Tamandua tetradactyla: one gene and its partners. The protein of the gene in region 3 interacts with the protein of the main gene of each other region in a biochemical or structural test. Links are inferred from orthologs where the notes say so. Each region holds a gene or a part of one and is shown on either strand. Other genes may lie near its edges.

What was found. The genes of interacting proteins can lie anywhere in the genome.
Region 1: the proteins of SNTA1 (region 3) and DMD form a complex in vitro, tested with the Homo sapiens proteins (2 studies listed by BioGRID, with this or other methods). The link is inferred for Tamandua tetradactyla from reciprocal best matches to the Homo sapiens genes SNTA1 and DMD.
Region 2: the proteins of SNTA1 (region 3) and SLC16A7 interact in a test that uses a peptide from one of them, tested with the Homo sapiens proteins (3 studies listed by BioGRID and IntAct, with this or other methods). The link is inferred for Tamandua tetradactyla from reciprocal best matches to the Homo sapiens genes SNTA1 and SLC16A7.

The regions. Positions count from the first base shown.
Region 1 is NC_135353.1:140,597,781-140,608,117, reverse strand, and holds the start of DMD (dystrophin), read right to left. Parts: upstream 3,891-10,337; 5' UTR 3,608-3,890; coding exon 3,577-3,607; intron 1-3,576. UniProt on the Homo sapiens protein: Anchors the extracellular matrix to the cytoskeleton via F-actin. Ligand for dystroglycan.
Region 2 is NC_135333.1:127,019,915-127,029,519, reverse strand, and holds the start of SLC16A7 (monocarboxylate transporter 2), read right to left. Parts: upstream 3,891-9,605; 5' UTR 3,733-3,890; intron 3,162-3,732; exon of another isoform or gene 3,089-3,161; intron 1,104-3,088; exon of another isoform or gene 1,032-1,103; intron 1-1,031. Other genes in the region: uncharacterized protein LOC143642624, read left to right, coding at 4,016-4,222. UniProt on the Homo sapiens protein: Proton-coupled monocarboxylate symporter. Catalyzes the rapid transport across the plasma membrane of monocarboxylates such as L-lactate, pyruvate and ketone bodies, acetoacetate, beta-hydroxybutyrate and acetate.
Region 3 is NC_135327.1:19,570,294-19,580,438, reverse strand, and holds the start of SNTA1 (alpha-1-syntrophin), read right to left. Parts: upstream 4,806-10,145; 5' UTR 4,675-4,805; coding exon 4,362-4,674; intron 2,036-4,361; coding exon 1,850-2,035; intron 1-1,849. UniProt on the Homo sapiens protein: Adapter protein that binds to and probably organizes the subcellular localization of a variety of membrane proteins. May link various receptors to the actin cytoskeleton and the extracellular matrix via the dystrophin glycoprotein complex.

The sequences.
Region 1 (10,337 bases), on a different chromosome or scaffold from region 3:
TAATCAACTATACTGTGGCATTGTCATTTTTAACTTTCATATCTGTTAAAATTAAACTTTGGAACTTCACATATCTGTTAATGAATTATTACTCAGTTAATATTTGAAAGAGTAAAACCTCAAGAAAGTTTAACCAATAAATGTTTTCACATCAAGAAAAGGTGAAGAGCAAAATGTGTTCACTTGCTTGTTTACATTTTGAAAATCAGTATGCTGCAGGGAGTATACTCTCCAAAGAGAAACATTTGCATGAAATTCTTCTAAGCCATTTGGATGTGTTTAATTACAAATATCTTACTATCTTCTTCCCCATGCTTCAGTTCATATCCTTCCCGACAACTATTCCAATATGAACCAAATGCCCTGTAAACAGAACGCAAACCTCTTAGGACTTTAGCAGGACTTGGTGAAAAAGAAAACTTACCTTCTCCCCCTGACTCCAGTCAAATCCTGAACATACAAGTGATTCCATCTCACTGTGATTTGGCTTGCCTTCAAATTACATACCCTGTGTATCTGAAATAACTGCACCGCCTCCATTAGCTGAGTTTGACACCACTTTAATCAATGTATTTTTTCAGAATGAAAGGCAGAAATGTCAAATTCCTACCATCTTAAATTGTGCTAACCCACTAATACGCATTAAATAAAAGGTTGTCTTTGAGAAATAACATGTGCCCGAAGAAACAGAACTAGCAATTTGATCTTAAAATGTAATTGGGAAAAGATTTAATGACAACGACTCTCTTCACACAGAGGTGATTTCCCATGAAACCTCTAAAGCTTAAGCTTTGAGACCCTTCACTTGCATGGGACCCTCCCAAGACCCTCTCTAATTTTCTATTCAAATATTTTCTTATAAACCCCGATTGTAAAATCTCAGTCTTCCTAAAATGTGGATTTGCGCTTCATGATTTTTTGTTTTGTGGAATAGAGTACACACATTAGTTTTGTCAATTCCTTGAAATGTGATCTGCTTTGAAAACAGAAAACAAAATATGAGCAGAAAATAGCATATTTAAAGAAAGTTTAATTTCCAATTAACTTCAATTAATTTCTTAAAAAACTTGGTATGCTGTGACTTAAATGTGTATTGATATAAACATGCAGACTCAGGTCAACATACCACCTTTGTTGTATTTGCAATGCAAAAATAATTGCTTAATGAAAAATATGAGGAACCGTTTTTAATAAGGTAGGGAACTAATAAGGTAGAATGAGGAAAGGGAAGCAGTGTTTGGGAAATCAAGTTTTAAATTCTGAGATAAAGCCCTCATGACAGATAATAAAATAACATTCAAACAATCACCTGACTTTTCCAAGACAACAGAGATTTTAATCTATTTTATTAAATCACGCAAGTGGCTACGAACTTGACATTTTCTTTCACATGTAGTAACTGATTTGGACTACAAGGATTTCAAATGAATTCTTTAGGACTAAGAAGAATCTCTGTATTTCAGTACTTTCTAGATGGAATAGTGTCCAACTAGAAAACTTTATTTTTCTTAGATAAAATTATATATCCTTAAAATGCTGTGTAGTTTTCTTTTTAGTTTATAGTAACATCTGCATGGACTTTTTCCTTACATTCATCATAATGCTATGCTATGTGATCAAGACACCCAAAGCTGCTGCTTAAATTATGAAATATGTATTTAGATCAGCAGCCTCTTTTTCACAGATTTAAGGTGTCCTTTTAAAACTACACAGGTGAAATTTTAAGGTGATTTTATTAGAACCCAACATGTTTTACACCATTCTAAAAAATTTGAGTGAGGTGGATATCAGCTAGGAAATATGTGAATAATTTTTGGCAATGCATTTTTGCGTAATTCTAAAAGTAAACAATATTTGCGTTAGTTTGGCAATGTTCACTTTTAAAGGATAACTGTTCTGTTAAAACACTAGCCAAATAAGATGTTATTGTACTCTGCTGTCTTTTTGAAATTAAGGCAATATTCAAAACTGGAATCAAATGTCAATACATCCAGATAATAGTATATTTTCAACCATTAAAATTTAATGTATAATGTAACCCTGTGAATATCTCCACTTGCTCTTAAGACACCCACTGCCATGTAGCATAAGCATTATCTGATGGTTTGAAAACATGCTATATTAAAGTCATACACAAGGGCATATCCCAAAAGGAGTTAGCTTTCATCCAATTACAATTACAAAACTCATTTAAATATTTATGCAAAACCGAGAATAGTTTGCCTTTCTTTGTTCCAGAATTGCATCTTTGCTGTTCTCTAAAAGTTGGCCTACGCACTAGTGTATGAGTTTAGTTTTTGTAGGCAAAAATTATATATGTATATATAAAATCACCAGTCATTAATTCTGGTAGTATTAATAAAATAATGATTCTTGTAATATTTAGAAAATAACGATCCAAAAGAAATAATATCAAATGAGAAATGGGGGTGTGTGCAAAGAATATGTGCTACACATGTTTTTGTAAAGAAAGTAATGATACAAATGTTATACTATGAAATTGTGCAGCATCTAACATGGATCAATAAACGAACAAATGTATTCCCACCAGTTTTTCTCATAGGGAGAACTGCTCTTCTGACTCTTTCTCTAAAAGTTGTAAAGTTACTTACATTTAGTTTTCTATTCTTAATTATAGGCATTACCCTCAAATCTATTTCAGAATGACTCTAATCCACAGGTTACAGGAAAAAATGATAATCTCTAGCCATGTCTTTGGGACACACTGTCCTCATCACTTATTATTTTCACATAGTTTTTTTTACTATTGCATGACAGTCAAATTTCAGATTTTTCAGTAGTCATCATGACTCTTCCCAAAACAAATATAATAATTGCATTTTATATGAAAGCCAAATTTAAAAAGCTTTCCTGAAAAGGGAAGTCATCACAGAGACGAAACAGTGAACTGCCTTTAGTAACTTTACTGCAAAATTTGATTGCAAATCCGCTTGTCTTTTGATGTTTTCTCAACAAGAGAGTTTCTGGTCCTTTGCCAGCACAGATCCTATATCATCATTTGAAAGATTTCTCATGAAATGCTACAGAAATGAACATCTGAAATACTAAATGAAAGGTGAGACGGGAGCTTCTAGTTAAATCTTTATCAATACTTTGCTCAACCTCCCTTGTTTCTATTACAATTCACTTGAGTCTTTATTATCTCCCCATGATCTGCCTGATCAAATTTTTCTAACCTCGAGGCACCTGCCTCATTCCCATACAGACATGATTTCACTGAGCGCGCATGTCAGGAAACTACCCCACATGTATGTTTTACAAAATTCAGAAATATCACATAATCACGATAGCCAAGTCACACAAACTATTTCACAGCAATGAAAATGGTTCTCTTTGCGAAAGGCAAAAATACTAACTCCTACCTCATTTCTGTTGAAAAGTTTCCCTAATGAGATGTACATCTGCACACAGACAGGCCTACGATATATGCATCAGACAACATTTATGCTCATTCATACACTGTAATAAATTAAAAGTCAATCTGCCTCATCAGTACACTTGTCAAACTAAAACGTATACTGTGGCAAAAGACATTTTAAGTTACTCTGTACTTACAACAGTCCTCTACTTCTTCCCACCAAAGCATTTGGGGTAAAAAAAAAAAGTATATATCAAGGCAGCAATAAAAATCTTGGTAAAAATTTCTGCCAACTTTATTGCTCCAGCAGGCTGGGGAACGATGAGAAACCAATAAACTTCAGCAGCCTTAAAAAACAAATTACACTTCAGTTTTTCCTGTTCATTTCTCTCTGAAGGTAATTGCCTCCAAGATCTGAGTCCTGTAGGGGGAAAGTGAGTGATCCTGACACTGAGTGAGTCAACATAGCATCTGATGCCAGGATTCTGTAGAGGCCCCTGGATATTTGAAATTCCAGGACCTGCGCAGAAGCAAGGGACTTGCCTTTTCTCTCAAGTTGGTTTCCCATAATAGGACTGCTCACGGCCACTACATATAAGGTTGTGATTCCAGCATGGCAGGTCCTGTGAGTTCAAATAATGTTCAACTGTGTTCTGAAGAATATTCAAACCAGAATAGCTCAGTAGACCGAGTGCCTGCTGTCCAAGCCTTCAAAACACACAAAACACTCTACAGTGCAAAGCTGTAAACAATACTTTCTGTAACTTTTATGCAGATTTCTGCAAGGGAAGAGCATAACATCCCGATGGAGAATGGACTTTTAAACACCTTTTTTCTTTTTTTCCCTCACAACCATGCTACAAAAACAACGCTCAGCTGATGCAAAAGAAATGCCCAGAATAATCTATGCATTTGTTCTGTAGCCACCGTCTATGGAAGTTCATTTCTACCCTTGGGAACGAATAAAAAAATCATGCATTGATGATGCCAACCGTGTGCGTAAGAGAAGCAAAGGCAGAATGTAACAGCTGAGCTCTGAAGGCAGAATGTGTGTAGGTCTCACGGGACAAGTTTTCTGCTAAAATAAAGAGCACTCTTACAATGGAATGAAGAAATCTTCCTGAACTGGTAAATTTTCATTGTGGGCTGTGATAAAACTTATTTACTAACAAATTACTCTTTCCTCGATGCGTTCGGTGGCAATTATTAATGCATTATTCTCTTAGTGAGTTAATGATCAATTTTTAAAAGGTTTTTCAGCAGAGACTTCTTTCTGCATTAAATGAACAAGGGTAAAATGTGTCATTCAGTGGTATTGGGAATCATGCTTTGCCATAATAGGTTTCTTTCTCTTTATCATGGTTTTAATGCAACAGGTGACTCCAATATTTATAGGAACTGTTGATAACTCATTTTAGAAAGATATTCCTTTTCCAATTCTAAGAATCCCTACTAAAATTATTTGTTTTTTCATAATACAATTTTTAATGTGACAGACTCAGATTTCTATGCTGAACATTAAATTGGTTGGCTCGGAAATAAATTATAGACAAAACTGAAAAAAATTGACATTGAGTCAATCTACAAGGTTTATCTTAATAGTTAATTACACACCATATATTTTAGAATATCATCATAATTAGTACCATTTTCCCCAACAAGACCTAAATGAAATAAAACATAAGGCCTACTTCTTAATTTGCGATACTTAGATTTAAATTACGATTATCCAAAGATAGATTTAAAATTTTCCTATACATAGATTACCTCATCTCCCCTCAGTTTGGGTGCATGAAAATGCATACAAGCAAACATTTCCATTCATTCATAAAATAAACAAATCTTTTTGCACCAACATAGATCCAATTCTGCATGTTAGCATCAATATCTTTCTGCACTCTAGGGCACAATTTCACCTAAAGTATAAGTCCTTCTATACTTTGAACTGTGAGATTTCTAGACACATAAACCCAGACACATTCCCAGTCCAATATATAGTGCATCTGTGATTCTTAAAGTGCAGTCCATAAACCAGCAGCGTGAGCATTATCTGGGAGATTAGAAATACAAATACCCCTGAGACCTGGAAAATCACAAACTCCGGAGGGTAGCCCCCGGCACTTTGTGTTTTACAGGTGATTCTAAAGCATGCTCAAGTTTGAGAAGCCGTGAAGTATATGATTCTAAAAACAAACAACTAGGCCTCCGATCTTAGGTAAAATCCAAAGTGCCAAACACTGAATCTGAATGCTCTCAGCTAAATCTTAATTCTATTTCAGTATTAATCAATAATCAGTAATTTACTGGGTACCTAGAGTAAATTCTGCTATATGTGCAATAGGTACGCTTCCCTTGAAGTTTTAGAATCTAGTGTGAAGACATGCTTAAGGTAAGTGGAAAAATGGAAAGGTACATGAAAGAAAAATCAGCTCAAACAGTCAAAGAATTTTATGACCTTCAAATTATTTTCCTGTGGCCCTTAGTTGCGTATTTTCTTTTAGTCATCACAATATCTGTATCTGGAAGTTCTTAGGAGTCCAAATATAAATATGACCAGTCAAGGAACTTATGCATGTTCTCTTAGTTTATAACTGGCAGGTTTTGAAAAAATTATTGTAACTTTTTACTTTGAAATAATTATTCACAGGAAGTTGCAAAGACAGTGGATGACCTCTCATACATCCTTTATCAAATTTAATGCATAGGTTACATCTTATATGACTATGGACAAAACCAGGAAACCGACAGTAGTGCAATGTTTGTATATATCTGTCATTTTTTCACACAAAGTACAGAAATATTCCATTGCAAAGATATTTCTCATGTTACCCCTTTAGAGGCACACTGGCCACCCTTACCCCACCATCCCTAAAACCTGGCAAACACTAATCTCTTCTTTATAATTTTATCATTTCAAGAGGGTTGGGTAAATGGAATCATATAGTGTGTAATGTTTTGAGATTGGCTTTTTTTCACTCTGCATAATGTCCTTGAAATCCATTTAAGTTATTGCCTGCATCGACTTGCAGGCAACCAGTTTGTTGAACCATTCATTGCTGGAAGATATTCTGGTTGTTTCCAGTTTGGGGCTATTATAAATAAAGCCAGAAACCAATCATGTACAGATTTATTTGTCTTCATTTCTCTGGGATCAGTGTCCAGGTGTCCAACTGCCGAGTTATGTGAACGTGACTGCTTTTTTCTGAAACTGCAAAAATGTATATATTTCTTTTTAGTTTCTCTGGGATTAATGCCCAAGAGTGCAAGTACTGGGTTCTGTTGTAAGTATGTGTTTAGTTTCGTTAAGAAACTGTCAACGTCTTTCCTAGAGGTGCTGTGCCATTTATATATCTACTAGCAATGAATGAGTGCTTCAGTTTCTCCATATCGTCACCAGAATTTGGTGTGGTCAACTTTCTGTTTTCTTTCTTCTTTTAGTCTTAATTGAATAGGGATATCTCAGGTTGCTTTTAATTTGAATTCCCCTAGTGGTTAATGATGTTGAACATTTTTTTTTTTATGTGCTTGTTTACCATCCAGATATCCTCTTCTATAAAGCCTGTTTAAAGTCTTTTCTCAAAATTGGAAACTGGATTTTCTTTTTTTTCCCACCTCTGAGATTGGAGAGTTCTTTATATATGATAGGTGTGAGTCTTTTCTTTGATATGTGGCTTACAAACATTTTCTCGTAGTCTATAACTTGTATTTACATTCTTTTAACAGGGTCTTTTGCAAAGCAAAAGTCATCGATCTCGATAAATATTTTCTTTGATGAATGGTGCTTTTGGTGTCACATACAGAATTCTTCATCAAGTTTTAAATCGCAAAGATTTTCTCACGTGTTTTTCTAATATTTTACATTATATTGAAACTGAAATCTCTGATTCACCTTGAGTTCATCCGTATATAATGTATGAGGTTTAGATTCAGTTTCCTTTTCCTTTTTTTGTATCAAAGTCTAGCACCATTTGTTGAAAAGACTGTCCTTCGTCCACTGAATTACATTTATAATTTTTTCAAATATAAGCTAGGCATATTTATGTGTATCTATCTCTGAGATTGAGATTCTACACCATTGTTCTATGCGTCTATCCCTCTGCCAATAACACACAGTCTTAATTTCCATAGTTATACTACAAGGCTAAGCATTTTAATCATATTTTCTTCTTTTTAAAATATCTCTAGTAGTTATAGACTCTGTGTCTTCCTATACAAGTTTCGGAATAAGCTTATCCACAGATAGGTCTACAGATAGGTCTGCAACATATATTACTGGTGTTCTCATAAGAATTTCATCAAGTATATAGAATTAGCATCCTTACCCTGTTGAGAAGTTCAGTCTATGAAGACAGTATATCTCTGATTATACTACATTTTAAAAATTTCTTTCATCATGCTTTGCTTAACAGTAATTTTATTGTGATTAAACTATATTTTCACATTTCAAATACATATGTGATGGCCTTCTCTTTCTCATGTGTATGTTTGCACAAAGAACACAAAGCACAGCATAACGTACAGAAGTACAGTTTTGAAAAAGAAGCACATTAAAATAATTAAATGTATACAGTTAAGTAAATACCATATGCATATGATCTTGAAATCATTTTAAATGTTAAGGTTATAACTGTTAACAGAGAAATTGATAGAGACCTATACTTTGTCCAAAAACACAAAGTAAAATTTATATGACATTGAATGCATACATCAGTATATTTTTTAATGATTCTTTTTTTGGCCTCCAGTTTTATGGTACATGTTAGAAAATGAAAACTGGCCTTGTTTATATTCCAAAATTAATAATCCCTGTATTGTAAAACAGAAGTCAAATTACTAATAAAGAGCCTAGTACTCTAAAAGTAAAAGGGAACAAGATAGGAATGAATTCTTAAATAATTGAAAACCCTAAAGAAGTTTTTTTTGATAAATTGAGAAGGGGCTGAATCATTCGCCCCTTATTCAATTGTTTAACAATTTCAAACATTAAGCTTAATAATTTCAAACTTTAAGTTTAATACAGTTTCATAGGATAACAGGCTCGAAAGAAACATACCTCCTAAACTATTTATATAAAGTTCACAATTCTATTGATTTAGGGAAAAAATCATGTTTGGCCACTTCTGTCTCCCCTCCCAACGATCCATATTTATTGAAATATGAAATGATGCCTTCTATTAAAGGCTTATATTTCTTAGATTTTTTTTTCCTTTTTAATCTATCTTTAGTTACTGCCAGTGGGAAAAATATGCTAGTTTAGAGGCACTGAGACCAGAAAAATAAGACAGGATTCCAACAAAAATTTTGCTGATATTTTCATAAAATTACATTAATAATATGTAGATGCATTTTCAAGGAGACTTTACATCTTTCATATATTAAATCTTCCAGTCCAGGACTATGGTATACATTTCCATTTGTTTAAGTCTTTGATTTCATCAGTTTTGTAGTTTACAGCATACAGATGCCATATATATTTTCTTAGATTTATAATTAAATATTTCATTTTTTGAGTGAGTGTAAATTATAATGTACTTTAAATTTTGGTTTCCATTATTTAATTGCTTAAATATAGAGAGGCAATGGATTTTTGTGTGCTGTTCGTGACTCCTGAGACCTTGCTGAACTTACTTATTAGTTCTAGGCGTTCTTTTGCAGAATTCCGGGGTTCTTCTACATAATTCTATAAATAAGGATGTTTTTTATCTATTGCCTCCCTTCTGATTTATAAGGTTTTATTTACTTTTCTTGCATTACTATGGTGGTTAGAATTTCCAGTACTAAGAATGAAAATGTTGAGAGCATATATTTTTGCCCTTTTCCTAATATTATGAATACAGCCTTCAATCTTTTGCAAATATATTGACTATAGTATTTTTACAGATATCTTTATCAAGATGACTAAACCCTCATCTAGTGTTAGTTGTCCAAATTTTTATCATGAATGAGTGTTGAATTTTATCAAATTTTTTTTCCTGCACCATAACAATTATTCTTCTTTAGCCTGTTAATATATTGGTCTAAATTTTGTTAAGGATTTTTTTTTTTTTCTGGTCACCAGCCCCATGAGGGATACTGGTCTATAGACTTCTTTTTATAATTTGCTTGTCTAAATTTGGTGTTAGAGTACTGCTTGCTTCATATAATGTATTCGAAGTGTTGCTTCCTCCTGTGTTTTCTGGAAATGGACAATTCTTGACTTCCATTGCACAGAAAATGCTATGCCACTACTTTCAAATCTCCATGGTTTCTCCTAGGAAATCTACTGTCATTTGAATTGTTTTTGAAGCTATATATGGTATTGCTTCTCTTTTACTGCTTTCAAGATTTTTCTTTATCATTAGTTTTCTGAATTTGACTATGATATGTCTACAAACGGAGTTTTTTAGGTTTTTCTTGTTTGCTTATCCAGCTTGTTGGGTCTGTACGTTATTTTTTTTTTATTTTTGGCCTAAATGGGGTTTTCAGCCATTATTTCTTCAAATACTTGTCTGGCATCACCCTCTAACTTCTCTCCCCTGATGACATAGAACGTAGATCTTTTGCTACCATCCCAAAGACTGAGGATGTGTTCATTTCTTCAGTTTATCTTTTATTCAGATTGGATAATTTTGATTGTTCTATCCTACAATTCACAGAAGTTTTTCCTTTTTACCCTCCATTCTGATGTTGAGTCCATCCATTGAATTTTATTTCAATTATTGTAGCTTTCGTTTCTAAAATTTCATTTTGTTCTTTTATATATCTTACTCTTTTGCTGAGCATTTTTCTTAGTTTTTGTTTGTTGCATATTTTATGATGGCTATTTTAATATCCTTGGAAGTTGATCCTGTCATCTGTGCAGTTACGGTATGGTTGACTGTTGATTGTCTTTTCTCATTCAACTTGAGAATTTGCTATTTCTCGGTTTGATAACTGAATTTTAATTAAAATCTAGACATTTCAGTGCTATGTTGCAAGA
Region 2 (9,605 bases), on a different chromosome or scaffold from region 3:
ACCTGGCTAGTAAGTGGCAGGGCCAAGAACAACACCAAACCCACTGAATGCTATAGTCCCTGCTTTTATCCTCTGCCCTGTCCTCCCCCAGTGACCTGATCCCAAAGGGGATCCCAAATGAATCTAATATGGTCTTTGCTCTCAAGATCCCTAAAGCCTAGAAAGAGATAAGATGCCTACAAAAATAATTATGATCAAGATAAAATAGAATAATTGGTGTAAGAGAAGTCCAGATAGAGTTATATATGGAAATTCAGATGAGTACAGATTAATTCAGGACAAGGGAGCCAGGAGTGTTTTGTTTTACTTTTGGGTTAGTTGGGGAGGGTTAAGGAAAGGAATGTAATTGGTATTTGTGGCATGCCACTCTTTTTATGAGCTATAGTATAAGACACCTTACATTTGCTATTTTCTTAGGTGTTTAAAACAACCATTCAAGTATTATTTCTGCATTGCATAAATTAATGGTGTCTTAAAAATTTGAACGCTGAACCCGTTAATGATGGTCTTTTATTCCTCCCACCTTGAAGTTTCTTATCATTATCTTCATGGGGTGTAGGCACCTTTTGCTAATTTGTCAGTTCTGAGAGAGAATACATTTCTAATTCACACAAAAGAGCAGTAGGAACTAGCTGCAACAGGAGGCAAAGGAATCCTCTAGAGTGTTGTAGTAGAGAGAAGTTGATTTTTTCCTTCCTTCCTTCCTTCCTTCCACCTTTTCTTTCTCAGTTCTTTCAACAATCAATTGCCAAAATCTACCAAGTACCATGCAATGTTCTGGGCAATGGAGAACATGACACAAAAGATTCCTGCCTCTTCAGCTTCATGTGAGGCAGTATGACCGAGTGGTTAAAGCCAGACAGACCAGGCTCTTGCCTGAGCCTCACCAGGTTTAACCCTTCTTCTGTAAATGGAGGCACTTCAGCCCTAGCTCATAAGGTTGATATGGGGATTAAAGAAGTTAATACAGGAAAGTGGTAGCATAGTGCTTCAAGAGCTTTATAGACTTGTAGTTATTATAGTTACCATACTTTTGGGCTTATAGGAGTAAGTGGATTAGCCCGTCCAAAGAGTAGAAGAAACTGCAGCTCGATTTCTTCTCTCTCAAAAAAAAAGAAAAAGGCAGGGAGTCAGTTTATTGTCAAAGGTCCTCTTCAGAGAACATCTTTCCTCCCTATTAAGGAGAAAATCATCCATAGTCTGTTTATACAGGTCACCCTCAAATGGTAAAAGAAGGGCTCAATACATGGGTTTCTGAGGCAAGGGACAACCCTTCTCAAATTAGCTTTTAAATACATTATAACCTGCAAATATTTCTTTAAACTGTTTAATCTCTTCCAAGGTTATTTGGGATATATTACTTGTCTATTGGGAAAAGAGGGTTATTAACCTGGACGACTGCATGTGAATTTCATGGGAAAAGATTTCCAACTTCATTCATCTTGGTAACACCAGGGCAGTGTCTAGAACCACTGTAGGGACTCAAAAATAACTGGTCTATACTCCAGGTGTTCATATTTTTTATCCTTCACAATAGCACTGCAAGGTAGGTACCACCCATTGCATTTTATGGATAACCATTTGCCCAAAGAGGCAAATTTTGAAGTAGCTACTCAACCTTACAAAAGCACAGAACAGAGCTTGAAGTCTAGGTTAAATTAATTATCCTTTTCATGTAAATGTCTCAAAAATTTTGGTGAATGAATGCAGAATTTAAAGTAACTCAGGAGACTTCTTGATATTTCGAATCCATAATGGAAGAATATGACTCCAGACAGAAATTATTTCCTTAGGTCAGTTTTCCCCCTTTCCCTTCAGGAGGGGCTGAAGGCAAATACATAAACCCACTTTTAATAGCGGTAGAGTAAATGCTTCCCTAGAAATAACAGAAACAAATGGAAGACTTATACGTGGAGACACTAATGTAGACAATGGGAAACAGATGTTAAAAATTTTAGACCACTTTCCATTATTAAAATGCTCCCTGGAAAAAAAAAGTAGTACATAATTGAAAACTATCGCTGTGAATATTTACAAAGAGGAATTTCTGACTTTCTGAGTTGTTACACAATACACTGGGTTGCTTAAGGTAGTAATATTTTTCCTGAGTTTATTCACTTAAGACTGGCCTTAATGTAATGTTAACGTGCTCAGAGGGAGACAGTTGAGCCAGGATTGCTTCACCAAGGCTAAATAAGGGTCACCCTGTTCAACCCTCAACTGCCCTCTGATTTTTCAATTACACTTCCCCAAATGCACACTTAGGAGTGGCCGTTCCAATCAAGCTACCTGTCTGTTAAAAGTTCAGGGCTCTCATTTGGGTTTAGCCTGGTAGCGCCAGAGAAGGGAATCTAGTGCCTCCCGTTTCCTCCTACCCAATCCTTTTCACCTTGCCTGGATCATTTGTGGCGATTTCTGCTGCGTCTCCTATGGGAACCGAGAAGGAAGGAAGACACGCAGTATTAACTTTTCTAGTGCCACTAGCCTGCCCTCACTCAACCCAACCCAAACCCACTTCTTCAGGAAGGAGCGTTAGACACTTGCAGAGAAACCGCTCCTCCTATCCTCTTGTGAGTGCATGTGTGTTTAATTTTAATTCCCGTGGAGTGAAACCACAAAATTCCCTCCCTGGTACTACCGAGAAAGTGGCCTTGACCACGACTGCCCCTGCCAAGACAACTTGTAATCCCTTTCACGGAAACAGGGGAGAAAAAAGGGTGGAAACGGCAGCAGACGGGCGGCAAACGCTGAGGGTTGAGCGGGTTCGCACGTGAGAGGCCTCCCGGTCTCCCGCACCACCTGGCCGGGCCGGCGCCCACCAGCCCCCAGCGCCGCACTACGGAAGCTCCGCGTGGGTCTCAGGGGCTAACGCTTTCCTCAGTCCCAGCCAAGTCAGTTCCCCCGCTGCCCGGGAGCCTCTACGCGCGCGCGCGCGCACACACACACACACACACACACACACACACACACACACATCTCCGTCAGCGTTCCCCCGCTGCCCGGGAGCCCTCTACACACACACACACACGCACACCTCCGTCAGCGTTCCCCCGCTGCCCGGGAGCCCTTTACACACACACACGCACACCTCCGTCCGCCAACGGCCCTGCCATGCTTCTCGGGGACCGACCCTGGGGTCTCGTCTCCTGCTCCCAGCCTCTCGGAACCTCAATCATCCGCGGCTCTGCTGAAAAATAAGCCTCCCCCAGCCAACACTCTCGCCGCCACCCCGCCCCCACCTCTGCCGCAACGACGCCAGGTTGCCAGCAGGTCCAGGATGCTCGAGAGGCACGCGCCACGGAAACACCGGGCAGGAACTAGCCCCGGGAATCTCGTAGGCAAAGACGGGGTGGTCCCGCCCCGGCAAATTATCTGGGAACAAACTGGGAGCGCGGGAGCACCTCCTGGCCGAGGAGGCACGCCCGGGACCCTTGGAGCCCGCCGTTCCAAAGCGCGCGCCCCGCGCCCGGCGGACCCCGCGCTCTTCTCCATTGCAGCGTCGGGGTTTTTTTTGTTGTTGTTGTTGTTGTTTTGCTTTGGTTTGGGTTTGGGTTTTTTGTTCTTTTTGTCTATATAAGGACTAGCCAGCAGACTACGTTGGCGCATTTGTCACAGGCTGGCCGTTGCGGGTCCTCCGGCAACTCCGACAGCAGACGCTCGCTCGTCTTCCTCACCGCGGGCACCTCCTGCACCAATTCCTATCCCCTCCCTCCCGGGGTGTTATTACTTTACCTAATCTCTGGCACAGGGTGGGCGCTGTAGCTGTCCGTTCCCACCCGGCTGCAGCCGGCTCGTCTCGCTGCCACCGGGTGAATGGAATTATTTATTTATTTATGTCCCTTGACGTGTCCTCGCCCTCCGCAGCCGGAGAGGAGTAGGCGGCGGGGAGGGGTGGTGCGGCTGATGAACGCCCTTGTGGGTGCCCGGGAGCGCGCGCCGGGGGGAAGCGGGGCGGGGCAGGGGCGAGCGTCTCCGGCTCTGCTGCGGCCCAGCGGGCGGCCCGCGCGGGTGGCGGATGGGGGAAAGGGGGGCTGGTGCACCGTCGCCGCCGGGTGACTCCAGACCGACTGAGCATGCTCTGAGAGGCTGTCAGCGCGATTGCGGCGACTTTCCTGTGGCTCCCGGCGCCCGACTTCTGATTTTAGTTGTGACCAAGAGAAAAAGCCAAAAGGCAGATAGAAAGATCTGTTGTTCCAGATCGGTCACCACACGTTTGTCCAAGGTACTTTGGCGTCTAACCTAGGAACCAGGTGTGCGGTGGCTCTGTTTAGATACCCTAAGGAGATACTTAACCTGTAGGAGAGGAAAGCATGCAAAATGAGGGGAGCCTGGCAGAATACAGGGCCTCTAGAAGTTCCTCATGGTGAACTTGGGGAGAAAGCGTTGGGCCATTTTATAACTAAAGCCTTTGGAGGGAAAGGGGTTGGGGATTATTTCACCAAACAAATCACTAAAGGGGGGGGGGGGGTAGTTAACACCATGGGGGGATGGGTATAGGAAACAGCACATGGAGAACTTGAAAATAAGAAAGAAATGGATAAAAGTCATTTATAAATCCTTCCTTTCATTGAGTAACTGCAGATTGGGACCTTTATGTATCTATGTTTAAATTGTTATTTAGAGAAAAAGAAACTGTCCAGAGGAATAAACGTGGATTTGGATTCGAGAACTGTTACTGCAGTTTGTCTACCAAATAGCTGGCATTTCCCCATGTTCTTGTTCTTAAAAAAAAGCAAAAAAGATTAAATGCTGTGTCAATCCTAGATAATACAACTTCCCAAAAACTTTTTTTTTAATCTAGGGGTTAAATCATTTATAAGAAGCCAAGATTATTTAATGGAAATGACCTGAGCTTTGAAACCCGAGGGACTCAGATTCGAAACGGTAATAATAGTAGTGGTAATATTAATAAAATTTATTAAGTTCTTATATTGTCAAGCACTATTCTAAGCACATGCATTGATTATCTCAGTTAATACCCACACTAACCCTTTTAGATACTACTATGAGGATTCACATTTTACAAACTTGGAAACAAATATAGAGAAGTTAAGTTATCCAGCCACATTCATAATTAGTGTCTTAAGTACACCACAGCCAGCCTGTATGCCTGAACGAAATTTGAATTTTACCTTCTGTAGCTAAATTAGAAATATCACCTTTTCAGTGCTGTCGTACAATTTACAAGAGATGATGTGTGCAAATTGTCTGGCACATAAAAGGAGATGAATAAATGATGGCTATTAATAATTTCAGAAACTTTGAGAGAGTTTTAAAGAAAGAAGCAATTTAGAAACTAAAGCACAAAGGCAAAAAAGTTCTAGAAAATCTTGTAAATTTTTAAAAGCTAAAAAATGGATAAGTAGGCATTTGTATAAGGCATAATAGTCATTTGATAATTATAGCAATGACTATAAGCATTGCATTTGTATTACCCCCCCAAAAAAGAATATTAAGTAATACTTAAACTTGGGAGGAAAGCAGTGTAAAAACTACATATTTCAAGGTCATGTTCTCAAGCATTTGTTATTTACCTTTTTCCTGTCCCCTCACCACATTTATTTCTTTTTAAAGAAGAGGAAGAAGAAAGACCATTCATTTCCTGAATTTTGACCCTATGCTCCATTTTCCTTCTCTGATTTTTTCTTTATTGGCCATGATTCTTGGCTTATTTAATCCAGCTCCCAAACACCACTATTCATACCATAATATCATAACCTTTGTTGTTGTTGTAAGTCTTGTTTTTCAAACAATTAAAATCTTAATCCAATTATCTACTGCCTTAAAGTTAGTATTTGGGGACTCGTTTCTAAATCACCTTGATGCTTTAACTAGACATGCTAAATAAATATTTCCCTGGAACAGAAAGGAATCTGAAGAATTAGGTGTAAAAAATCCAGTTTATCCTATGAAATGTAGTCTTAATATTGTTTGGAAATTGAGAAAAAATACAATTTGAGGAAAAAGCAAACAATTTGATTAGAATTTGGAATGCTCTGGTAAAAATTTTTCCTTGATTTCTAACCCATAAAATGAAATAACTTTGGGGAAAACAAAGTAGAGCGATATACTCAGTATTCTAGTGTCTCATGCTCCACCAATGAATAAGCCAGTAAATACGTATGTAGTATATAAACTAATAAGTAATAACCAAACTTGTGGCCCTGTTTTGGTCACTGACTCATCTGTCACTTTATACCCACAGATTCATAATCCAGGTTCCTATTCTCTCTTCATTCTTCTCCATAGCATGTTTCTTTTCTCATTCCCCCCTCTGTCCTCCATATCAAACTTGTCTGAACTTCCATTAAGGCCCAGCTATGCTGTCACTTCTGTAGCATTTCAAGGATTTCTTCAATAAGAATTAATCCCATCTTCCTTTCTACTCCTGCAAATAGAACATGATTTATGACTCTATTCAGGGCATTTCCTCTCTGTCTCACATTATAGTTTTATTATAATATTATTTTATGTAACTGTCTCCCCAGTCTCTTAGGCTATTTGAGGTTAAAGATGACATTTCTGACCTGTATCCACCAGCACCCAGCACAATTTCTTCCAAAAAGAAGGTAATCAATAATGTATGCTGAATGAAGGAAAAAGATGATAGTGTGACCTTAGGCAATAGATATATGGCACGAATTGTCAGTTCTCATAATATCCATAATCTGCCACTCTATATTTCCATTGCAGTTACATTGGGGGCATATGACTAATTCTACCTAATTATGAATAATGGTGGCAGATGTCATCTCTGGGCAAAGGCAATTAAGAGCCAGTGTGCCTCCTTCATTCCTCCCTTTCCCTGCCAGGGTACCCTTGGTGGTCACACGTTTCAGATGGAGTAGCTACAAGACGAGTCCCTAAAAGTTTAAAGAAAGAGAAAAAAGACCACTTGACTTGTACTGGGCTTTGTGTAAGCAAGAAACCATTATTGTCTTAACAAGATTTCGTGCTTTATTTGTCACCAGGGCATAGCCTAGTCTATTCTAACCAATATAAGGTGTTGCTTAATAAGATTATAAATCATAAAGGCATAAAGACCCAAAGAGATATTTGGAGTTTATGAAAATACACTGTGTTCTTAAGCCAAGCCTAAAATATATATTCTGACCACCAAAAATTGATGTAACAGTTTTCTCATGGCAAGACTCTGTTGGACCAAAGTAGGTTTGCGTGTAATGTATGTGCGTAGAACATACACGATAGGTTGGTTTTAATTAAGGATGCAAAATCAAATGTCTCAATAGAATATTGAGAATATATTCTATATTCTAATAGAGTTCCTCAACTTGAGTGAAAACCAACCTGTACCTGCCATCCAGTGACAACCTTCTGTGCCCAAGATTTTAGCTGGCTAGCAGCTGTGAATACAGTTGTTGTGGCTTGGTTTCATAGACAGTACAAAGTATAAAATAACTCTTTCTATTGCTTCTAGATTTATATTTTAAGTTATATAGGTTACATTGAAAATTTCTTTTATGGAAGCCTCCCATAAAAGGAGAATGCAAATCTAGTCTGAGTTTACAAATGATAAGAAAAGGAAAACAATCATATTGTACATTGCTGTATGGTGTGGCTTTCAATAACAATAGAATATCATAGATAGGCTTTTTATCAAAATAAATGATTTTGGGGTCTCAGCAAATCTGTTCATGGAATCTGTATTAAAAGTACTGTCCATTGGTGTTTTTTTAATTTTACATTTTAATATTCACCATAAAATAGGCTTAATGGAACCTAATAAGTATTGTATTGATGCCTTCATCTGACTATTCTAGTAATTCCAAAATCATAAAATTAGAAAATTGGATTAAAAACTTTAATCATAAATCGTGAACTTAATACAGGGATCTTATAAACAGTGGCTTATAAATATTTCATCCTCAATGAATTTTGTTGAATGAATCAATTATGGCTGAATATGGTACCAAGGAATGTCAGCTATAGTGGTTTTTCCTGTATGTGTGATCTTGGATGGTTATTTAACCTGTCTGATCTTAAGCTTTTATTTAGGGACCTTAATAATTAGCTTCTCATTCTAAAATTCTCTTATGCTAGCAAGCCCTTCAAAGATACAAAGATCCATGAAATTTATGCATAATCTTAAGTGAAGAAAATACTTATATATGGTATAGTTATTTCTATTAAACTAAAAATACTGTTTACTTCTCATATTTTGGATAACAGTATTAATCAAGATGCTTTACAAAATATGACTTTAAATTACAGACTTAACTTGTAACCCAGTGTAACTTGTTATATACCTGGAATGTCCTTGAGGTTTAGTCATTGTTTGCGTTTACATAATATCACATAGGTCACAGGACAGTTGGACTCACATTATTCAGAACAGCCTGCTTCTCAACAAGTTGGATTTTAAGCTGCCTTTGCTTTATTTCTTTGCTTAAAATTAAGGCCATATTGCTGTTTTGTTCAGGAGGTGTTTTTCTGTTTTCCGTTTGCCAAGGAGTGACAAAAACTACCTATTTGTTTTGTGCTATTTGCTATATCATACTAATTAAAATTTCTTAATCTTAGTTCATTTTAATGGGTGTCTTCTGATTGTGATCTTGAACTATTACTTGTAGATTTTTACCTAAAACCAGTCTTTATGAGATCTGTTATGTTTAATACATTTCAGTTATATTTGTTTGTACTGAATGTGCCTCTGTTCTTTAGCCCTGTGATTTAACTTGGAGCCCAGCAATATTGGTGGTCACCTAAGGTATATTGATTGTGTTTTTTTTTTTAAGTCTACCAGAATTTCCTTTGTCAATGAGGTATGGAGTCATGGAATCCAGTGATAGCATCAGAATGTTTATTTTCATTGAGTTTCATTCATTCATGACATATTTATTATGCAACAATCATATGCCAGGCACTGTGCTAAACCCTTTAGATGAAAGTAGTGGTTCCCTTAAGTGGGCAATACATCTTTTCCTTAATTTTCAGGCTGATTACACTGCAAATGCTATAATACTCTCCAAATAATTATGTCAGTATAAAATATTGGAATATTTGTTTTCTTTGTGATAGTCTTCATGTTTTGTCCGTCTAAACTGAAATAGACCATCCTAATTATTTAGTTAAAGGTTTATCTAAAGATTCAGAAACATATTTCAAAAAGACACGTAGTGGGCCGTGTGGTGGTGGCTCACTCCAAACTACAATGCAAACCAAGGACAGCCTATAGCTGAGAACAGTGTCTGACTTCAGGGAAAATTAATTTTGATACAACTGAGTGTTGAGTGTTTAAAACTGTTTAGGAAATAACTATCAAAATACATATATATTTCTTCTCTCTAGCCATTCCTCAAATAAAAAATTAAATATTTTAGTGTTGCAAATCTTTTATCATTTAGATCACATACACATTCTTGATGAAAATTTGTTCTGGGTGGGGGAACGGTGAAAAAATCTTAATTATTTTTAGATATAAAGCACAGGTATATACACTGTATATAAACAGATATACATACACCTGTGGTATTAAAATTTGGGAGAGCCGGTTGATCAGGATAAAGAAGGTCTAAAAAAGACTCCTTAAGGGGATGGCAGAATTCTTGCCTGCCATGTTGGAGACCAAGGTTCGATTCCCCGTG
Region 3 (10,145 bases):
AATAATTTTTTTTTTAAAAAGCTAGTGGTTATCTCTGATCTAATTTAATCCCAAGCATTAGGGAACTTAAAGCCCAGAGAAGGTAATGTAAGGGTCTTACCCAAAGCCAACCAGAGATTGATCACAGAGAAGACAGATTTTAGGAACTGATTTTAAGTAGTCTGTACGGAGAAGACAGCGTGTACATGTTGTCTCTCCCACCCGGTGGTGCACTCCTTCAGGAGAGGGCCTGGGTCTGGTTTAGCTCCAAACTCCCAGTTCTCTGCACACCAGATATGTGTAGGTATCTGTGAATGCTTCTTGGTTTAGTAGAGGAGGGAGGGAGTGCATGGTAGAGGGAAGGCTTGGGCATTCATTCCTAAAGCCAGGAGGCACTTCAAGCCTCTAACACTAAGAGATGCTGTCTTCTCAGAATGATGTACAAACTGAGAACCCATACAGACACATTCTCAAAAGCTATGGGGGGGGGGCAGCCTCAAAGTGGATTTGAAATGCATCTACAGTAGAAAATTTACTATTTAGAGACTACACCTTCACACAGCAGAAGCTAAAAGAGCTTTTCAAGTCAATGTCATTTTGATGAATTTCAACTATTTCAAACTGCATTACTGGCTATAAATAACAGAGTAATGAGGCATCTGGGGGAAAAAAACCTCTTATATCCCTATCATTTATGTATGGTCTTGTTATTTAACTTCACTTTTAAAGTATGATTAATATACTTAAGCTTTTAGGAATAGCACTCTAAAGTCAGCCTTTTTTTTTTTTAGGTATAAAAAAAAATGGATCAGTGGAATTTAAAAAAATACACCTAAAATAAAATTAAACTGAGAGGGAATTGAGGTCTGGAGTTACAAGTATGCCAAAGATTACCAGAGACCTGGTGCCTGTCTGCTTCTGTGACCTCCTGGGCACCCCTTTGGAGAAACCAAGGCAACCATGAGGATCTGGGCCTGTGACTCAGCTCAGCAGTTTTACTGGCCAAAGCATTCTCCACTGGCCCCTACCACCTCCCTGTGCCTGCACTGGGCCATGAGCCAAAGATACATTCCTCAGCCACCCCCACCCCCCCCACAGGCCTCCAGGGCTGATAGAGTGTGAGGAAAGAGCTATGCAAAGCGGAAACCTCCGGAGAGAGATAGCAAAAGCAGATATGGGACAATCACAGCAGGAGGTCTGTTACAACCAATGGGGAAACTGAGGCCCAGAGAAGGCAAGGATCTCTCCCTAGACCATAAAAGAGGAGACAGTAACTAATTCCACCCAACCAAGGTTCCCACACACACCAAAAAACCTCCTTTCTGATCCTCACTCAAATAATGTCATGTCTTGCTGTTCTCTTGAAGTTCTCTTCCAAAGGAGGGTGGGTCTCAGGGTTTTATGGCTCCTGGGCACTAGAAGGACCTACAGGTCCCTTAGGAAAGAATCTTGGCTGCTCCCTCCCCAGTCCCCTGGCCGTCTCCTTCCCTGAATCACTCCCTGGGTACCAGATCCTGCCATGTTCCTTTCATCCTGCTCATAAAAATAACCCAGCAAGGTCACAGTGACATCCCATTTTATGAATGAGGAACTAAGGCTGAGGGAAACGAAGTGACTTCCCTAAGGCCACAAAGCTCTGAGTGGGAGAGAAGAAAGGTACAACCAGGTAGGTCTGGCTCCCTGCAGGCTCCCCTCCACCAGCCCACACTGTCCCCGGGTAGGCCTTCAAATTCTGTGTCTGCTTCCAACCCTGTCCATCTCTCAGCCCCCACGGCCAGGCTGGGGCCATCTGAGGCCTAGGGGGGCCAGGGAAGAAGTTAAACACACATGCACACCCACTTTTCAGGGCCCTGGGGACCTCAGTGCTTACCTTCTAGCACCACCTCCTTGCCTGCCTTCTTAAGGACCTGCACTGCCTCATCGTGGCTGGCAGAGGACAGGTCTTCCCCATTCACGGACAGGATGGCGTCCCCCACAAAGAGGGCCTCAGTCTGGTCAGCTGCCAGGCCCTTGAAGATCTTGGAAATGAGAATGGGCATCTTGTTCTCCCGGCCCCCTACACAGGCACAGAAGGAGAAAGAAGGTGAGGCAGATGCTCCAATGCTTAGGAGTCGTGTCAAGGCAAAAGTATTTATTGAAGGCCTCCCAGTGCTGGAAAAGGAGCGGGGGGAATGTGGAAGACTAAAGAGAATCTCAGAACAAAGGAGCCTTAGAAGCTTGGGACACTTAGCTAGTAAGCCGCAGGGCCAGCATTTGAACCCAGTCAAATGTGGGCCCTCGGATATCACATTCCTTGTCCATCCCCAGAGATGAGAAGATGAAGAACTAGCTCCCCAGAGAAAGGAACTCATTGTTACAAGGTCACACGCCAAATTGGTGGCAGAGCTGGGGCTGGAACACTCTCCTGACCTCCACATATACTCAATAGTTTGTTCATCATGCTGCACAGAACTTAAGGCCTAGGGGGAGGAAGGAGTTTCTATTTATCTCTATCTTCCCCCTCCTAAAACAAGGGATTCAGTCCAGTTTGAAATATATGGTCATTCCTATCTGCCCATGGCGACAGGAGCCCATGGAACTTGCACTTCCTCTGAAGCCTCCTAAAAAGACCATCACCCCCATCTGGAAGTATGCAGCTTGAGAGTAACTTTATGTGACCTTGGAAAGTCCCTGCTCTTCTCTGAGGTCTCAGTTTGTCCATCTGCAAAATGGGAGAGTTGGCACTAATGCAAAGTGTTAATAATAGGAGAACATGTGGGAATTCTGTATGTTAGGCACAATTTCTCTGTAAACCTACAATTTCTCTAATTAAAAAAAAAAAAGGAAGGGTTGACCTATATGAACTATAGATTACAACCTGCTCTGACAAGCTGAGTGTACCATTTCTGGATTGGCCCTGCTGCCCTATGCCATGCTGGAGGTTGGGAACAAGACTGGTACCTGTCCCTGGTTTCACCACTTTCCCCTTTTAGACATCTTTGGTTGGCTGCCTGGCAGTTTGCCTTTCCACATGTAAGTATCACCCTGGGCAATCTCTAGGGAGGACATGTGCCTGATAATTGAGGCTCTAATCCTAGCTCTGGAGCTAACTATGTGACCCTGGGCAAATCATTGCACCTTTCTGAGCATCCGTTTCCTCACCTGCAAAAAAATGGGATTATATTCCCTATCTTTCAACACTGGTGCCAGGATGAAGTGGCTCATGAGCCTACAGTACTGGGCACAGCACCTGGTACACAGTGGTGACAGTTGCCACCATCCCCAGCCCCAGGCTAAAGGATCTGGAGGCACCAGTGAACAGAGTTAGCACCAGGGAGACCCAGAGAGGGGACAACGTACATTCAGGGTGAAACAGAGACTGACACCCTTTTCCGTGGCAGGTAACACTTCGCCGAGAGCTGGGACCCTAGGAAGCAGACAGGCAGGACTGGTGAGCTCAGCAGCTGGAGGTGTGCAGGGAGTTTAAACACTGTGATCAGTTGCTTTAGGAGCCTCTCCTGACCTCCATTTTTCCTCTCAAATAACAGCGATAATTAACTGGGCCCCTACTATGCGCTGGCAGGGTCAGCACTTCGGACTTCTGTGCTTACAGAAATAACACAACTTTATCATTATCCTCGTGCAGTTGAAGAAATTGAGGTTCATAGATGGAAAGCGGATTGTCTTAAGTCCAGAGTCCTAAATGAGTCCCCAAAGAAAGCCGTCCACAGGCTGGGAGCTCAAAGAGGAGTACCAACTCTGTGTCTCCCCTTTCAATCCTGTGCAAAGTAGAAAGGGTCAGATCACCAGATTCAAACCCAGATGTCAGGGCTCCCTGCCTAGGCAAACAGCTGTCCCGGGTCCTCAGATTTCTGCATCCTTTCTGGCCCGTCTGCGACTCCAGCCTGTGCCTCCACCCACGGGCCCTACCCATGCACGTCCTTCCCAAACTCCCTCCACCTTGGTGTTGTCTCACGGACTTGCTTCTCCTTGCCTAAGTAGTGTCCCAGGCCTCGACCCCTTTCTCCACCCTCTGCTCTCCTGGGCCCCTCTTGTCCTTGGTGCCCGTGCTAGCTGTTCCCGCAGATCCCTAAGCCACCACATAGAATTCCCCACCCACGTTTCCGTGGTGCGCCCCAATGCCCTCCACACCTACTCCGTCGGTGACTTCGACTCCCAAAATCCCATGTCCCTGGCTCCCCACTGTACTGTCACAGACCCCAAGTCTCTGACCTTGGAGGCCCCCGTGCGCCTAGTGGCCTCAGAACACCCCCACCCCATACCCTCAAACCCAAGGCCTCCCTATTCCACGGCTTCCGTTCGGCACCAGTCCCCACGACCCCTGCGTCGTCGGCGGCCTCACAGACACTACGACTCCGTGCCCTCGGTGCCCCCGCGCCCACCTTTGATGCTGATGCCCAGCCCACCGGCGTCAGCCTTGCGCACCGTCACGCGGCGCCGCTGGAGCAGCAGCGCCTCCGGCAGCTGCGGGGGCGCCGCTCCCGGCTCGGCGGCGCCGTTGAGCTGCGAGGGTTCGGGCTCCCGCGGGGCGCCGGGCTCGGGACCGGGCTCGCCGTCGGCGGGGCTCACAGTCAGGGCGTCCTCCGCCAGACTGAGCAGCACCCGCTGCCACCGCTCGCCGCCGCCGCCGGGGGAGCCCACCCCGGCGCGCAGTTCCAAGAGCCCGGTGCGCGGGGCGCGCCTGCCTGCCGCCATCTTCGCCTCCGGGCCCCCGCGCCGCCGCGCTCACTCTGCCCCGCTGTGCCCGGCCCGCTCCGACCGAGCACCCAGGGCAGAGGGCAGCTGGGGCCCGTCTGGGCCAGCAGCCACCCTACCCCGGGCCGCTGGGGGTGGAGTCTCGAGGGGGCGGGGCTACGTGGGTGTGGCTAACCGCAGAGGGCGGGGCCTTGACACCTCGCGGGAGGCTGGGCGAGGTCAGACGCCCAAGGGAGCAGAATAGAGCTACTAGAGGGTGGGGCCGTAAGGCCCGGGCCCCGAAATAAGCCGAGGAGCTGGTGAGGAGCGGATGCCCAAGCGGAGCCGTTCAGGGGGCGGGGCTTCATACCGAGGCCAAAGGCCAAGATTCCTGTGAGGGAGACTCAACTCTGGTCAGGGCCGTCGAGGCTCTGGGCCGTCGCTCACAGAGATGTGAGCACAAGAACAAGGGAAGGACCGTAAGGCCTAATGCGAAGCTTTGGGCGTAGGAGCTGAGGACACCAGGGACAGGGCTTGAGTTTAAGAAGTCGACAGCGAGCCGCGAGGCATAACGCAGGTGTAGCTGCTAGTGGGCGAGCTTCGGAAGAATCTCGTTTCCGAGTTTGGCGCGGGGCATTTTGGCATTGGGGCGTGGTTTTGTGTGGGCGTGGCTTCTGGTGCTTGCAGGCCCCGCCCACTGGGGCTGACCTTGCAACTGCTGCCTTTAGGGCTTGGCGAACGGGTGGGCATGTTACCCAGTTAAAAACTGAAGGAGACTTTAAGAGGCTAATGTCCTGCAACTATGTGATGAAACTGTGAATTACTGATTATATATGTAGAACGGAATGATGATGTATTAAGAATGTTTTTGTCTGTTTGTTGTTATATTTTTTAATTAAAAAATTAATTTAAAAAAATAAAAAGAAACAAGGTAAAGTGAACAAAGGGAAGATACGTATGGTATTAGCCACTGCCGCTACTGATTAAAACCCTGATAAGTGGGATGGTAATGTGTGGACAAAGCAGATAATGGAAAAAAAGCAAGTATTTTAAATTAAAAAAAGCTTGTCAGATAAAACAAACAAACAAAACCTTGTAAGCCATTAATTACCTGGATGGTTAGAATTGCTGATGCAGGGGCTGAAGGAGTGGTGCTGGACTATGCTGATTGCATGAAATTTACAGAAATTAGCACCAGTCCCTTCATACAGACTGCTTTTCAGAAGTTTAATCAGCAAACTGGAAAAAATTCTAACTTGCTGACATTGGCTGCACGAAGATGCAATAAGCAATGCCCTGCTAACAGTATGTGGCCATGAAATAATCGACCCTGGTACACTTTATAAAATGGCAAAGCTGGGAAACATGGGAGACTGGAATACAGGGAAAGGAAAGGCCAAAAAGTATATATATATATGTACATTATATATATATGTATGTATATAAAATGGGAAATGGTTTCCCAAAACCAGTAATAGGATTTCCCACAGAGAAATGTTCCAAGGCCTGCTGGAAGCTAAGGTTAACCAAAAAAAATTAATGTTTTGTCAAAGAATTAAATTTTTAAAATGTATACAAAAGAAATGTAAACCAAGTTATGATCATAAAATGAGTAGTGCTCCTACTCCTGGCAAGGCAGAAGACCTGCATCCAGCTCCCTTGGTACCGCTATACCCTCACTTACTCCCTTTCTTCCAGACAAAGGATTAAGCCAAACCCCATTATCTTTGATTCCAAATTTGTGGCTCCCCTTTGGTTTAATGTTTCATATTTTTTAAACTTGAAAAAGCTGTTTAATATTATGAAACACCTTGCTTGCAAATTTTATCCGTACAGAGTTTTAAAAATCTTTATTCTGTGCCATCAATCCTTATTTTAAAAAATGTATATTAAGGTTTCAAATATGCATTAACTAAAGCATTTTAAATATTGAACATTATTCTGACAAATTCAATTTTAATAGTAATTGTGTGTGGTAAAATATTTGCTTTAAATAATGACTTAAGTATGAAGGATATAAAAGATATGCTTTTACTAAAAGGAAAAGGAGAGTAGTTTTGCCCTCACATAAAATAAATGGCTGTTACAGAATAAAAAATGTAAGACAAAGCCTGAACAAATATAATAAGTTGCCAAAGGTTTGTAAAAAAGGAAATTATGGTCAAAATCAGGGAAAGTTTAAGGTGAACTAAAAGGGAAGGTGTTAAAAGCAGTACCCAAACTCTTTAGCATCTACGCTCCCTTACCTGAGATTAAGCCAGGAAACATGGTATGGGTAAAAGACTGGGGGAAAAAAAAAAAATGGGCTCCCTGCAGCCTCAATAGGGTTGGTCCTTAATAGAAAGGTCCTTACCATGTTGTTGTAAGTAACCCTAACAGCCATCAAAGCCGTGAAGATCATCCTATGAATTCACCACTCTCAGGTCAAAAGGGCCACCACAGACAACCCCTGGGAATGCACCCCTTATCCTGAACACCTGACACACATTGTTCTCCGGGAGCCACTGCACTCCCTCTCCTTCGCAGCTGAGATCAGCTGACCAGCCCACAAGTAAGGCCTGAGTGACAATCGTTGCCCTGCTCTAGCTCACCAGAAGCAGCTAGTCAACACCCAGCTGAAGCCTGAGGAGATCTCCGAGCCCTGCCTCAGTCACCCCGGAAGCTGACTGATCTGCGTACAGCCGAAAATTAAAGAATCAACACATGGCCATCCCAGTCTGCTGGGTCTGTGGACTAATTCTCTTTTTTTGCTCTTCACGTTTGTCTTTTGTTTAGTGGTGTTAGCCCGCCTGAAAATCAGTCCCCTGGAGTTCTTCCCGAAAACCAACTTTACTCATTTGACAGAATCCCTCTTACCCAGCTAACTTCCCCCTTCCTAGCCGCTGCGCAGAGTGAGTGTCTCCATTCCTTCCCTGAGGCTAATTGTACATTTGTGTGGTGGCACTCCCCATAACCAGCACCATTAGCCTCACTCCTTTGTATCTGCTTGACATGATCATAAGCCCTTCCAAGGGGGATGATGCATGCCAGGCATGCTTCAAGACTACCTATGTTAGAAAAAGATAAGAACTATAACCAGTATTCATGCCAGGGCAGTTCTCAAACATGAATTATTCTGTATGCACCCTAAAGAAAGATGCCTAGTATGCTATAATCCCACCACACCGGGTTCAGTACTGCTATCTTCACTACTCTAGGATGGCAAAACTGTAAAGGCCTCCTGGGAACTGGGGCTAAGTTTATCTCTTGCCCAAAGCTATAAGCTAAGCCCTCACTGAAAAAAAAAAAACAAAAAATCTGGGTTCCCAAAAACATTAGACCAAAGCTGATGCCCCGCCAGCAGGTAAAGGAATCCCAAAGCAGGTGCTGGGCATAAAGGCCAGGGTACATAGGCTGTTAAAGAGACAGATCAGACCCTCTTGTGGGGGGGGGGGGCATTGCCCCTTCCTCACTTGCACACCTCACATCACCCTGCTTGGCCCTGGAAGATGGCTGGTTAGCCAAAGACGGGTAAGATTCCTCAGGGGAGGAACAACCTAAGACAGGCACAGTCACAAAGGGGCCATCAGGAGAAAATTTGAGGCCAACAGCAGCGGGGTACAAACCCTCACCACCACCCCCCAACTTTGCAGGGGCCTAAATTCTGCATGACTACATTCTTTCCACATCTAGCTCAGATTGGGACATATCAACACTTGCAGCAAAAAAAAACACACAAACAAACAAAAATGAAATATAGGTGATGCTATAACCCCTCCTATAAGTTGGGGTAAGCATCAAAGGGGGAAATGTAGCAGGCAGGCCTCTCCCCACCCACCCCCCACTCCCTGCTGCTTCTTCTGGTTCAGCTGCCTCCTCTGTGGAAAATCCCCAAACCCCCTCTCCTGACCTTCAGGAATGGGTGAAACTGCAGGCAGGTGAGATAAGACAGCTGGGATGGAGACTCCTTCCTTAAGGATGCATATGCTTCTGTGACCTAGGTTTGTGTCCTTCTCAACTTAAACCAGCCAATCATTTACCTTATCTTTAATATGTCATCCTGTCTATAAAAACTAATGTTAACCTTTTGTTCAGGGCTCAGACTTTCAGAGCTACTTGATTGAGCCCTATGGCCATAGAAAATAAAATCTACTTCCTGAAAAAAAAAGTAGGCTAATGTCCTATTCCGTTCACAATTGAGTGGTTGAGGCTCAGAGAAGCCCCACACTGAAGTCCCATACTGAAGTGTGGTTAGAGGAGAACCCAGGAATCCTGGTGTATGGAGAGAGGGCTGCAAGGAAGGCTTCTGAGTCTGGGCATTTGGAGACTGGTTCCAGCTCAGACGCTCTGTTAACTGCATGTTGACCTTGGGCCAGTCACGTCACTTCTCTGGGCCTCAGTTTCCTCATCTGTGAAATGGGGATCATAATCCTAACTCATGGGATGGTGTGAAAATTTCTTTGTATTATGCTGTGAACCACATGTTATTCATATAATCACTTTCATTTATTGAATGTTTATTATATTGCCCAGGTCTGGAACTGAGCATTTTCCATATGTTATCTCATCTTTGCCACAGCCTCATGAAGTAGCTACTGTTAGGAACACCTCCATTATACAGAAGGAAAAACATCCCATTCAGAAGGCCTCATTGGTCTAAGCCACACACTTATGAGAGGGGCAGAGCTGGGATTCAAACCCAGGCCTGTTTGATGCTAGTACCTGGGCATTCTGCTAGACAACTGCCAATTACAGAAGAGAAGGGTGATCATTTTCAGAAAAATTCCACTTCATCACCCACCTCAACCACCCTCCATATCTGCCCCTTGTCTCCATCTCTCCATCCCCCACTCCTATCTGGGTTGGGTTGAGCAATAAATTATTAGGGCAACATCAGTGTGTACACTCCCTGTGACTTTGAGTAGAACCCTCCACATAGATACTGTGCTGGTTTGAAATGATGTATGTTCCCTAGAAAAGCCATGTTTTAATCCTAATCCCATTTTGTAAAGGCAGCCATTTCTTCTAATCCCTACTCAGTATTGTAGGTTTGGAACTGTAATTAGATCTCCCTGGAGATGTGATGTAATCAAGAGTGGTTGTTAAACTGGATTAGGTAGAGGCGTGTCTCCACCCATTTGGGTGGGTCTTGATTAGTTTCTGAAGTCCTATAAAAGAGGAAACAGTTTGGAGAATGAAAGATTCAGAGAGAGCAGAGCAGAACGACATAGTCACAAGAAGCAGGGTCCATCAGCCAGCAACCTTTGGAGAAGAAGGAAAATGCCTCCCGGGGAACTTTATGAAACAGGAAGCCAGGAGAAGAAGCTAGCAGATGACGCTGTGGTCACCATGTGCCCTTCCAGATGAGAGAGAAACCGTGAACTTCATCAGCCTTCTGGAATCAAGGTCTCTTTCCCTGGATGCTTTAGATTGGACATTTCTATAGACTTGTTTTAACTGAGACATTTTCTCGGCCTTAGAACTGTGAACTAGCAACTTATTAAATTCCCCTT